3 separate regions of the Mus musculus genome follow, and all the other regions are reported to be linked to region 1. Evidence: microRNA targets listed by miRTarBase, many of them from high-throughput screens and not tested one by one. Region 1 holds a microRNA gene; each other region holds the end of a gene's coding sequence. Distances are between the middles of the regions.
Evidence for each region. Region 1 holds the annotated microRNA mmu-miR-466f-3p (CAUACACACACACAUACACAC, at 1,048-1,068, opposite strand). A microRNA usually pairs through its seed, bases 2 to 8, with sites in the 3' UTR of a target mRNA and lowers its output. Matches are read on the target gene's strand: a 7mer-m8 pairs with bases 2 to 8, a 7mer-A1 pairs with bases 2 to 7 and ends in A, and an 8mer does both.

Region 2: miRTarBase lists Pias1 as a target of mmu-miR-466f-3p. Seed matches in the 3' UTR shown: 8mer at 1,584-1,591.
Region 3: the mRNA of Pter is a reported target of mmu-miR-466f-3p. Seed matches in the 3' UTR shown: 7mer-m8 at 2,090-2,096 and 8mer at 1,802-1,809.

What each region holds. Positions count from the first base shown.
Region 1 is chr2:10,469,017-10,473,074 of GRCm38, reverse strand. It overlaps Mir466f-3 (microRNA 466f-3), which reads right to left and starts at 1,122; the gene lies at 1,029-1,122. The region is part of intron 10 of Sfmbt2 (Scm-like with four mbt domains 2); the gene reads right to left. It overlaps Mir669l (microRNA 669l), which reads right to left; the gene lies at 4,007-4,058. Mir669d-2 (microRNA 669d-2) reads right to left here and starts at 1,431; the gene lies at 1,346-1,431. It also overlaps Mir297a-2 and Mir466o.
Region 2 is chr9:62,878,627-62,882,685 of GRCm38, forward strand. It overlaps Pias1 (protein inhibitor of activated STAT 1), which reads right to left. Exons shown (of 14, transcript NM_019663.3): 14 at 1,451-3,635. The coding sequence ends at 3,342. Among named protein-coding and RNA genes, the nearest start is that of Calml4, 23 kb to the left of the region's middle.
Region 3 is chr2:13,000,832-13,004,890 of GRCm38, reverse strand. It overlaps Pter (phosphotriesterase related), which reads right to left. Exons shown (of 6, transcript NM_001305437.1): 6 at 1,437-4,034. The coding sequence ends at 3,824. It overlaps C1ql3 (C1q-like 3), which reads left to right. Exons shown (of 2, transcript NM_153155.2): 2 at 447-3,004. The coding sequence ends at 626. Among named protein-coding and RNA genes, the nearest start is that of C1ql3, 8.0 kb to the left of the region's middle.

The DNA of each region.
Region 1 (4,058 bases):
GCTGAACTCTAACTCATCATGAAGTTAAACATGAATTTGTACTCCAGGACCACCTGACTCTGGCAAGGGATTTCACCTGCTGAGTGAGACCTCTCCCTATTCAGTACTGCAGAATCTTAAAACTCTTAGTCACACGTCATTCAAATGGATCGATGAGTTGCATTCATGTTTGTGTGTCTGTGTACATGTCTATGCGTGTGTAGATATGTATATTCATATACACAATCCACACACAGGTACACGCATGTACACATACATGGGGGCATCACATGAATCCCAGGCAGATTTCTAAGTCATCATGAAATAAAGCATGAATTTGACCTCCTGACCTCCTGATTCTAACAAGCATTTTTAATATGATGGGTGATAACTCTCCCTGACCTAGTCACACATAATCTCCAAAGCTCTCAGTCACATAGATTGATGAGTGAGTGCCATTCCTGTGTGTCTATGTGCTCATATGTGTCTTATGTGTGCATGTATGTATATCATATTCACACATGTACATGTACACACACATCAACACATACACACATACATAGGGGCAATCACATGAATGCCAGGATGACCTCTAACTCATCATGCCTTTACCATGACCTTGAACTCCTGATTATCTTGACTCTGGCAAGGGTCTTTACTTGGTGAGTGAATCCTCTCCCTGGCCCAGTCATACAGAATCTCTAAGACTCTAAGACACATATCATTCAAATAGATCGATGAGTGGCAGTTTTGGGTTTGTGTGCATGCTTGTATGGGTATGTGCGTATGTATATGTATACTCATATACACACATGCACATGCACACATACATATACACACAGGCACATACACTGGGGGCATCACATGAATCAGAAGCTGATCCCGGACTCAACATGAAGTTGAGAATGAATTTCGACTCCTGATCCTCCTGACTCTGGCAAGATTTCCACCTTGTGAGTGAGAGCACTCACTGGCCCAGTACTACATAATCTCTAAAACTCTAAGTCACATATCATTCAAATGAATAAATGAGTGTCGTGTGTGTGTGTGTGTGTGTGTGTTGCGTGCGTGTGTATGTGTGTGTGTATGTATACATATATTCATATACACACATGCACATGCACACACACGTAAACACACATGCACATACATGAGGGGCATAACATGAATGTCTGGATGATCACTAACTGAAATTGAGCATGAATATGAACTCCTGATCCTCCTGACTCTGTCAACAACTTTCACCTGGTGAGTGAGACCGTTCATTGACACACTACTGCATAATCTATAAGACTCTAAGTCACATATCATTCAAATGGATCAATGAGTGCCATTCCTGTGTTTATGTTTATGTTTTTGTGTTTCCGTGCATGCGTGTGTATATGGGTGTGTATGTATATGTATATTCATATAGACACATATACATGCACACACAAGTATACACACATGCACATATATAGGGGGCATCACATGAATCCAGGATGATCTCTTACTCCTCATGAAGTTAAGCATGATTTTCAACTCCTATACCTCCTGACTCTAACAAGGGTTTTCACCAGGTGTGTGAGAATTGACACTGGCCCTGTCATACATAATCTCCAAAGGTCTAAGTCACATATCATTAAAATGCATCGATGAGTACCATTCCTACATGTATGTTTGCATGTGTGTGTATATGTGTGTATGTATATGTATATTCACATAAACACATGTACATGCATACACTTCTGCACACATGCACATAAACGGGGGACATCACATGAATCCCAGACTGATTGCTACCTCATCATGAATTTAATATGAATTTGAACTCCTCATCCTCCTGACTCTGGCAAGAGTACTTAACCTCCTAACTGAGACATAGCTCTTGATCAGTACTGCATAAGCTCTAAAGTTCTAAGTCACATACCATTCAAAAGGATATATGAGTGCCATTCCTGTGTGTGCTTGCGTGTATGTGCATATTCATATAGAGAAGTGAATATGCACACAGCTATACACACATGCACATTCTTGTTGGGCATCACATGAATCGCATGATGAACTCTAACTCATCATGAAGTTAAACATGAATTTGAACTCCAGATCCTCCAGACTCTGGCAAGCGTTTCACCTCCTAACTGAGACATAGCTCTGGATCACTACCGCATAAGCGCTAAAGCTCTATGGCACATATCATTTCAAAGGATATATGAGTGGCATTACTGTGTGTGCATGTGTGTATATGCATATTCATATAGAGAAGTGAATATGCACACAACTCTAACACATGCACATTCTTGGTGTGCATCACATCAATTGCATACTGATCTCTAAATCGTTGTGAAATTAAGCATGAATTTGAACTCCTGATCCTCCTGACTCTGGCAAGTGTTTCACCTAGTGAGTGAGACTTCTCCTTGACCCATTTATACATAGCTCTAAAACATTAAGTTACATATCATTCAAATGGATAGATGAGTATCAATTTTGAGTTTGTGTGTGTGTGTGTGTATTTGTGTGTGTCTCTGTGTGTGTGCATGTTGTGTTGGTTAGTTTATATGTGTATATTTATATGCATATATTAACATGCACACATACATATATGCACACATGCACATACATAAGAAACATCCCAGTCTGATTTCTATCTCTTCATGAAGTAAATTTTGTATTTGAACTCTCTCTTCACCTGACTCTGGCAAGTGTTTTTACCTTATGAGTGAGACTATTACTGACCCAGTACTACATAATATTTAAAGCTCTAAATTATATATCATACAAATGGATCAATGAGTGCCATTCATGTGTGTGTGTGTCCATGCATGCATGTATGTTTGTGTGTATGTATATGTATATTCATATACACATATACACATGAACACACTTATGTATACACATATGCACATTCAAGGGGAGACATCACATGAATCCAGGCTGATCCCAAATTCTTCATGAAGTTAAACATGAATTTGAACTCCAGATACTGATGACTCTGGCAAGGGTTTTTACCTGGTGAATCAAAACTTTCAGTGGCCAAGTACTACATAATCTCTAAAGCTCTAAGTCACAAATAATTCCAATGGATCGATGAGTGCCATTCATATGTGGGTGTCACATGTATGTGTATGTATGAGTTTATGTATATGTATATTAATATACACACATACATCACGGGATCATCACAAAAATCTCAGGCTCCTCTCTAACTCATCGTGAAGTTAAGGATAAAATTGAACTCTTTTATTATTAGGTATTTTCTTCATTTACATTTCCAGTGTTATCCCAAAAGTCCCCCATACCCTTCCCCCCCCAACTCCCCTACCCACCCACTCCCACTTCTTGGACCTGGCGTTCCCCTGTACTGAGGCATATAAAGTTTGCACGACCAATGGGCCTCTCTTTCCACTGATGGCCGACTAGGCCATCTTCTGATACATATGCAGCTAGAGATACAAGCTCCGGGGCGTACTGGTTAGTTCATATTGTTGTTCCACCTATAGGGTTGCAGATCCCCTCAGCTCCTTGGGTACTTTCTCTAGCTCCTCCAATGTGGGCTCTGTGATCCATCCAATAGCTGACTGTGAGCATCCACTTCTGCGTTTGCCAGGCCCTGGGCCTACTGACTCTGGTAAACATTATCACCTGCTGACTGAGACCCCTCTCAGGCCAAGTACTGCATAACCTCCAAAACTTGAGGTGACATATCATTCAAATGAATCACTGAGTGCCATTCATGTCTGTGTGTCTTTGTGTGCCTGTATATGATTGTATGTATGGATATGTATATTCATATACAAACAGGCAAATGCACACAAAACTATACACCCATGCACATACACGGGGTACATCCCAGGAATACCAGGCTGATCTCTAACTCATTATGAAGTTAAGCATGAATTTGAACTCCAGATCTTTCTGACTATACCAATCGTTTATATCTGGTGAGTAAAAAGTTTCATTGGCCCAGTACTACATAATTTCTAAAGCTCTAAATCACATATCAATAAAATAAATCGATGAATACCATTCCTGCGTGTGTGTTGATGTGTTCATATGAATGCGTGTATATATGGGTGTGTATGTATATGTATATTCAT
Region 2 (4,059 bases), not on the chromosome of region 1:
TATATACATCTTCCCCTATGTTAATAAAACAGCAGCAGCACGCTCTGGGACCACCGGCTACTCTCCCTCCCTCCTTGAAAGCTACACTTTGTGTTTAATTAAAAAAAAAACAGAATTCAACGTGTATCCACAAAACAAAATTCTTACCAAAATAAATTCAAATGTGCTTTAAGAGTCCTGAAGATTCTGAAAGTTTCATGTATTTAAAATTGAAACTGCTTTAAAAACTAGGTTCTTTCTACATTTATTCATTTACAATTAGGGCATATTTTCATTCGGTTTCACAGACTTGTCTCAAAAGGAAAATTGGCTGAAAAAAAGAATAAAACAAAAAGCAACAACGACAAAAAAAATATACCACCACCACCACCGCCACCAAAAGAACCCACATTTTTCAAACCTTTAGTGATTCTTGAAGTCAGTAATGTAGATGTGTAACATCTAAATTAGCAGTGGAACAACTTCAATACTCAACAAAGTATGCATGGTTAAGTTTCATATTTAAAAAAATGTGTCCAGTAATGCCCACATGGTAAATTAAAAGCCACCTCTACCCTCCTGGCTGAATGGCTACTTTATTGATGGTGTGTGCTTACAGAAAGACGGGAGCACACACACGATACTGTAGAGAACACATGCCAGAGGGAGAGACTAAGGAAGGAGCTCCTGGCAGCTTGCTGAATCAAAGATGCTGAGAACATTATCTGTCCACAGCCTATTAATCAAGGTTGGCAGGGCTGGGGAGTGAGGTCGGCCTAAGGAAAAACGACAACAACGGGACAAAGTGACCATGCGCTTTTTCTTTTAATGCAGGAGATAAAGTGGTGTGTGGCTCTAATAATTATTCAGGGTTGTGAAAGTCTCTGACTGAACTTGACCACATGCAACATTTTAGAACGTCAACACTGAAGAAGTGAACTCCTCAGTAAATGGAAGGAACTAAAACATACAGACAACCAAACGGCTTGTTCTCCCGTGGGGACATGACCAAAGCCACAGGGCATCTATTCCTCCAGTTACCGGCTCTCCCCTTAGGCTGGTACAAGGCAGGACACCGAAGGAAAGTGACCCCTCTATAGCTGGCATGAAGAATGCAGAGAGCTGGTTTAAACTGGATTATTTTAAGTTTGTAATTCAGCATCAGACACAAAAAACTATGCATCAGTATCCTAAAACTACTAACAGTAACCAAAACCAGACCAAACCAAACCAAAAACACCCAAACAAAACCAAGAACAAAGAAAACTATTCATTTTACCTCAGTTAAAATAATGTTTCCTATTGCTATGTTAATAGAAACACCTCAAAATTTCAGTGATTTCCACTATAATCCCAATTTAGACAAATTATGGTTATCTGAAGTGAGTCTAAATTAATACAGTAATGAGAGATGGTAGAACCTGTATTCATAACACCAGATGAATTTAAAAACATAACTATTTCTGGTTTTAACTGATAACAAATGTCTTGTTTTATTGCGAATTGTTTTGTGACTCTAACACAGCCGTTTCTGTGTGGAACACACATGCGTAGGGGAAGACGATGATGTTACTCACACGCACTTGTTTATAAATACATATATATATACACACACACACACATATACATATCAACACCAACTTTTTTCAAAAATTCAAGTCGACATTTTAGTAGCAGAGAGACTATAAAATAGATATTATTTTTAGATGCCACGCTGTCATGTGAACCACTTCCTTTATTATACAACTGAAGACACAGTCATCATGACTTCTACCTGGATTAATACCTACCGGTCCTTCTGTTATGGATGCAAGGCTTGAAAACAAGTTTACCACACACAAAGATGGTCCTTCCACAACTCTGAAAACATGAAGGTGGGACATAAAAGCCAGTGCAGGAGCTGGTGATGGTGTGCCCTGGCTCTCTGCAGTTACACCTGCATCCTCCATCAGTTGCCATCTATCTCCCACTGTCAGAGCATGCTTTCTTCTCTGCGGACTCTCAAGTATGAGAAGTATTTTTTCCTTCCTTTGACCCTTAATCACCTCCTGAAACAAATTTTAATATATTTACATATTCTGCTATTGAGAGTAGGTGAGACCAATTGGTTCTTGAATTTAAAAAAAAAAAGGCTTCCTATGTCATGCTTTCACTAAAGGTGAAGGAAAAAAGAACACGGCTAAGAAAGGAAGTATACTCGGAGACAGAAAACCAAAATAACTAAGGTTATTTTTGAGTTTCAACTATTTATCAGATAGATTTGGTATGGATCCACATGTGGGCTGTGCTGTACTGTTAACTTTAGGATAACCGATTCTTTCTTTCCTTCCTTCCTTCCTTCTTTTCTTTCGGTGGAACGGAACGACCTCTGCCAGCTCCACACCCCACGGGGCTACGGGGGTTCTTTCACATCCCATTTTGGTATGAAGATCCTCAAGGAAAACTTGTTACCCTGTTGCCAAAATGCAAGTGCTCACAGCCTTGGATTACATACAGAATACTGGCAATTCAGACTTAGAATCAACAGAAGTGTATTGTCATTCGAGGGCCTGCCCACAGACTGCGCATCCAAGCAGCGTTTGCTCCAGCACTTCTGGGAAACACACTCGTAGAGGGTAGACAGCAGATCACAGAGGATCTGGGATGGAGAACATGCACCTAGGGAGAGTTGAGAAAGATGCTCACACAAGAGTGATAATAACCAAATGCAAACTGAGGAGGAGGGGCGAGTGACGACAGAACAGCACATACAGGTACACAGGCGCTCTTGCGCGCACGCGCGCACGCACTCACGCACACAAGCTCTGTCTTGAAAACAAAGGGTATGCAGTAAGATAGACGAGGCTCATAACTTAAGGCTGGTAAAATCTACGCACACACAAACAGAATCCAAGTCTGTCACTTTTAAAAAATGGAAATCAAAGCTATCCCAAACCCATCCCCACAACAAAGCCCACAATTTAAACCTCATACATGCAATTGTTTCCGTTATTGCAAGAAAGATAATGCCATTGAAGTAAAATAAAACCCAAACCACAGGACAAATGGTGAAGTCTTCAGAATCCAGAAAAAATGAACTGAAGGTTTGTGGGTGCTTGTTTTTTCTTTTTCTTTTTTCTTTTTTTTTTTTTTAAACAAGTGTTTTATCAGACAGGCAGTCTTAGATTTATATACAAAAGTAAAACTGAAAATATAGTTTTGTTCTCTGTACATTTCTTTTAATTTTTTTTTCCCTAAAAAAAAGGAAAAAAAAAACCACGCTTGTATACTTTTCTAAACAGGATAAGGTAAAACAGAGCATAGAGTTCTCTTCTGCCAAGTCATTTAATCTGGGATGGGGTGGGAGCAGCAGGGTGAGAGCGTCAGTCCAATGAGATAATGTCTGGTATGATGCCAAAGATGGACGCTGTGTCTGCGCTGCTCCTGCTGGCCACACCATGGCCATGGCTCTCTCTCAGACTGTTGGAAGACACAAGGCTGCTGTTGCTGCCGCTACTGCTTCCGTTGGTGGCTGGCAGAGATGTGCTCCCTCCTGCACTTAGCTGGTCGAGAAACATCTGCGAGGAGGTATACGGGAAAAACCGGGAGGAGTGCAGGAGGTCCTGGTCATCTGAGACCGCCGCTGCAGCTGCGGCTAGCAGGGAGGTGTTGTAATGCTAGGAGGGACCAGAGACAAAACACTCTGTTACAATCAGATGCACCTCGGCGTACTCTTCTCAGCAGAACAAGGCTCCTCAAGTGACAACACATTCTGTAGTAAACGACTGGTCACTATTACTGAGAGCGCTTTGGCATGGTATCTGAGACTGGAATGACATTTTTGATTGTGTGTGCATGTAGTTTGTATTGCATGCAGTTCTTAGCCCTCTGTTTCTGAGGTGTTCAGAAGCAGTAGGAAGGATACATCCCACATTTCCAATGGCAAGTTCAGCTTGAGAACTGTCTCACAGCTGCTCAGCTGCTCCCAGGCTGGGCTGCAGCTCGGTGCAGCCTGCTTCTGCTCTCAGCACTGTAGGTGCTGGGCAAAGGGTTTGCGCACATGAACATCTCTGAGCTGGGAAGCGCAGGAAGAACTTGCTG
Region 3 (4,059 bases), 2.5 Mb from region 1:
TTTTCTCTAGGTCTTTTACCACTCGAGATATGAGATTTCTAATAATTAGGATGACCCATTGAAGTACACAGTTAGTCGGGATGCTGTTATTTGATTTAAATTAAAATGCAAAACAATACTGCTATTTCCATTTCAAAATGTGACTGGATGTGGAGATTCGAGGAATCAGAAAAAGCAGCAATTGAAGAGAAAATTAGATTGGCATGCTTTATTTACAAGGATAGAAAGGATGGCAGCAATGTCCCTTATTAAAGCAACATTTTTTTTCTCTTTTCTCTTTCCAGTAACATAGTTGAAGTTGTTATGGAAATTCCTTCTAAACCTATGGGACCAACAGCAACATCAGTGTGCTACATTGTATGCTATGGCTGCAAGTCTGCTATTATGTAAAAGGGGCAACTTAAGGATTCTCTATTTACAAACTAACTCTTGTCTGTTTCACATAGGTGCGTGCTAGTGCAATTGCTCAAGATGCTGATCAGAATTACGACTATGCCAGTAACAGTGTGGTCCTTCACCTGGAACCAGGAGATGAAGTCTATATCAAATTAGATGGTGGGAAAGCCCACGGAGGAAACAACAACAAATACAGCACATTCTCTGGATTTATTATTTATGCTGACTGATAATGCAGAGACTGAGCTTGCTGTTCTGAGTTTGAACGCTGGATTCGTATGGCTAACGTCAGTGAATCAAGGATCCCAGGGGATGCCCATTGCTGGGCATCTCAGTTGTGTAAATGTGGGGAGATCAAATGCTACCTGACTCACATCTGTATCACTCAGACACATTATGTAAAAAAAAAGTATTTAACGCAAGATAAGCAGATGTGTGATCCACTACCGCCAAAGCAAATACTCCTTATTGTTAGTGTCCATGTGAATGAAGTCCTATATAGACCACAAATTTTTATAGAAAAATCTAAGACACTGAGTTATTTCTTCAATATCTATGATACTTTGGTGTCCTGTGATCTTGCTGCTTTATTCACGTGTCAGCTTTGGTTCTTGTGAGTTTACCTGCTTATTATTAAGCTACTTGGAGTCTATTTGTAGTATAGGGAGGAGTCATTTTTCCCTGCAGGAGAAGGTCTAATTGAAGTAATGCTGCTTGTCCCCAAAGATACTGTTTGCCTTGTACTCTGGTTATCTTTAGAGCTAGACCTGGGAATGATTCAACTTGAAGCCTTAACCTGGAATTTTCTGGATTTGTGGAATTCCCAAGCCTGTGATCATTTTCACATTTTTTTTCTTTTCATGTGAATTTTCTTTTCTCTCTCTTTTCTGGTGATGGTCTCTATCTTTTTTTTTTTAAATAGAGATTGAAATTGTATCATAGGATTCCCCTCTAAGTGTGAAAATGTATAATTATGTACGGTATTTAGAAAAAAAAACCTGTGTGTCCATTTCTCCAATAGAATACATTTAGACTCTCTTGAACAGTCAGAGAAATTTATTCTTTGGTATGAAGTCAGATGGAGGCTTTTGCCTTCTTTGGAACAAAAGATCGTTCATAACCTAAGGCACAAAAGTTTAACTTGAGCTACTGCATGCGTCACCAAGGGGACACTAAGTAAGGCCTTCAAACAGTTACCACAAATCTGTAGCCTGAGGTTATTTCAAAATTAACAGTTTCACATAGAACCGACATGACAACAAAGTGTATATATTTTATATAAATATCTGCCACACACTTATTTATATACATATATGTTAGATGAAAATATTATATATATATATGGCTTCAGTCCACTAAGCACAGTGGCTGTACAGCTCAAAAATGAATTTAAAAAGTATATATGTATACACACAGAACCATGCACAAATTATTCGACTTATTTTAGATCAAAATATATTTTAGATGATACCAATACATAGAGTAGCAAAATAATAAAGGTGACTTCTCTTTAAGAGTTATTCAGAAAGTCAAATCACAGTAGATTCCAGTGCCCTATGTCACACATGAGACCTAGTTGATCCCATGGTAACTGTGTTCCACATGCAATCCATACTTCATCTGCATTCTTTGGCAGACGACTATTACAGGACTTTAGGAAGCAAGTAGCTCTCTCTTACAATGGTAATGAAACATACACATTTGAGCAGCCAATTATTTTTTTCTTTCTGTTGGATTGAAGCTGATAGTGTAGTGCGAACCCATTCTCGCTAGTTACAACACACTGCCAAGAGCCATCTCTTTGGTGTAAGGGGAAGATCAAAATGCATACGAACATGTCCTACTCACACACAATTCCCCCTCTTACAGTGGAAAATCTGTTCCCCTTTCAGTTGCCTTTAAACATTCTTTGACAAGTAGATTTCAAAGCCAGAGATTTAAAACTCTGCTTGGTTTACTGGGGAAGGACATTTGCATTTTAACCTTTAAAGGAACTGGGCTGTTCTTTTGGCTCACTCAACTTTGGTACTTTCTGTTCTAATATACAGAGAGCTTGATCAGCTATGATCAACAGAAATAGCTTTAGTTTAGCAAACCTTGACTTTTCCAAGAGTTATGCATGGTGTTCCCATCTAAAGGTGGTGTTTGCTGTATTTAAATGCCTTGGTCTGAGTAACTGTCGTGATTTATATGATAAAAACACTTAGATCATTCATCAAGAATAGTGACTAATTCGATTTGGCCCTTCTAATATGTAAGGTAATTCACCAATGAATTGCTACACTTTTAACTTCTATTTAACAGCATATACTTATGGATTGCAAGCAAGGGATTAAAGATTTGTCTTGGGTACCAAATCACATAACGAGGATTCAAAGGATTAACTTATAAACAACAGTGTTCATCAATTAAGCATTTTAACTAACATTTTGAAAAGGCTTTATTAGAAAAGAACTTCATGGCTGGATCTCTTCTAAAGAGTAGTGTTTACAAACAGACTGTCATTTCCAATAGACCTGACCTTTTCTTTAGATAAGTAAGCATTATTTTCTCTGTTTAGGCCGGAGAAAAAAAGAAATAAAAGGTACATGAAATAAAAGGACTATATATAAGGCAAGCATTTCTCTTTTTCTTTGCATTATAACATGAATTAATTAAATTGTGGCCTTTGTTATAATAACTGTAATGATTCATTAAACTATATTATGTAATATATTTTTACTTTTATAATTGCATTTTTTATAATTCACTATTGTTATATGTTCTTTGATAGATTTTCAAAAACACAACATAGTTAACAGTAAAAATGGAGACCAGAAAGCCAAAGTCAGAAAAAAAATGATATATTTTGTTTACATAAATAAGTGGAAAACACATAGGTAACCTTCGAAATTTCTTTATTGTTGTGAATTGGTAATTTTATTGCAGTCTCCTTTGGGAAAAAATGTCTCAAAATTTAACTTCCCTTGTTGCAAAAGTGATTTTAAAATGCCATATTATTCATTAAGCATTAATTAAAGAACAGCAGGATAATTAGTAGGATCATCAATATTACAAGAAACATTAGGTTGCTCCAGAAGGGGCAACTTAGCTAGAAACACTTTCATTTTTCTCAAGTAGTGCAGATCACAGAGTCAGGGTTGGGGAAGACATCCAAAATGATTCTTAGGGGATATAGTTTTAAACTACTGTTTGGAAACATGCTCTTTTATCAATATTTATTTTATTAAGGAAAGACAATGGGACTCACTTGAGCCCTGTGGCCCCCACCAGAGATGTCCCTGTGGTAGTTATCCAGCTTCTCATAGGAGAGAAGTGACCATTCACCAGTTCTATGTAGACTGGATTAATGTCTCCAGTAGATTTGAAATCACCAACTATTCTCTGCTCATTGTATCCTCCAGGTCTGGGTTCGTGAACAGCCATCCTATTTAAAAGTCAGCCATTGTTTAGGGTTTTCTATGAGTATCTTGTCAAGCACCCTCTCAGTCAGACCTCTAAGGAGCATCTTAGGAACAATGTTGGTAAGGATGTGTGAGTAGCCGTGACCTCCGTACTTCATCAACCGATGCTTTGTGTGTATGTCATGTGCCATGAGAATCCGATCTTCATAGCCCTCATCCACTAGAAAATGGACCCTGTGTAAAAACATTAACTCATTAC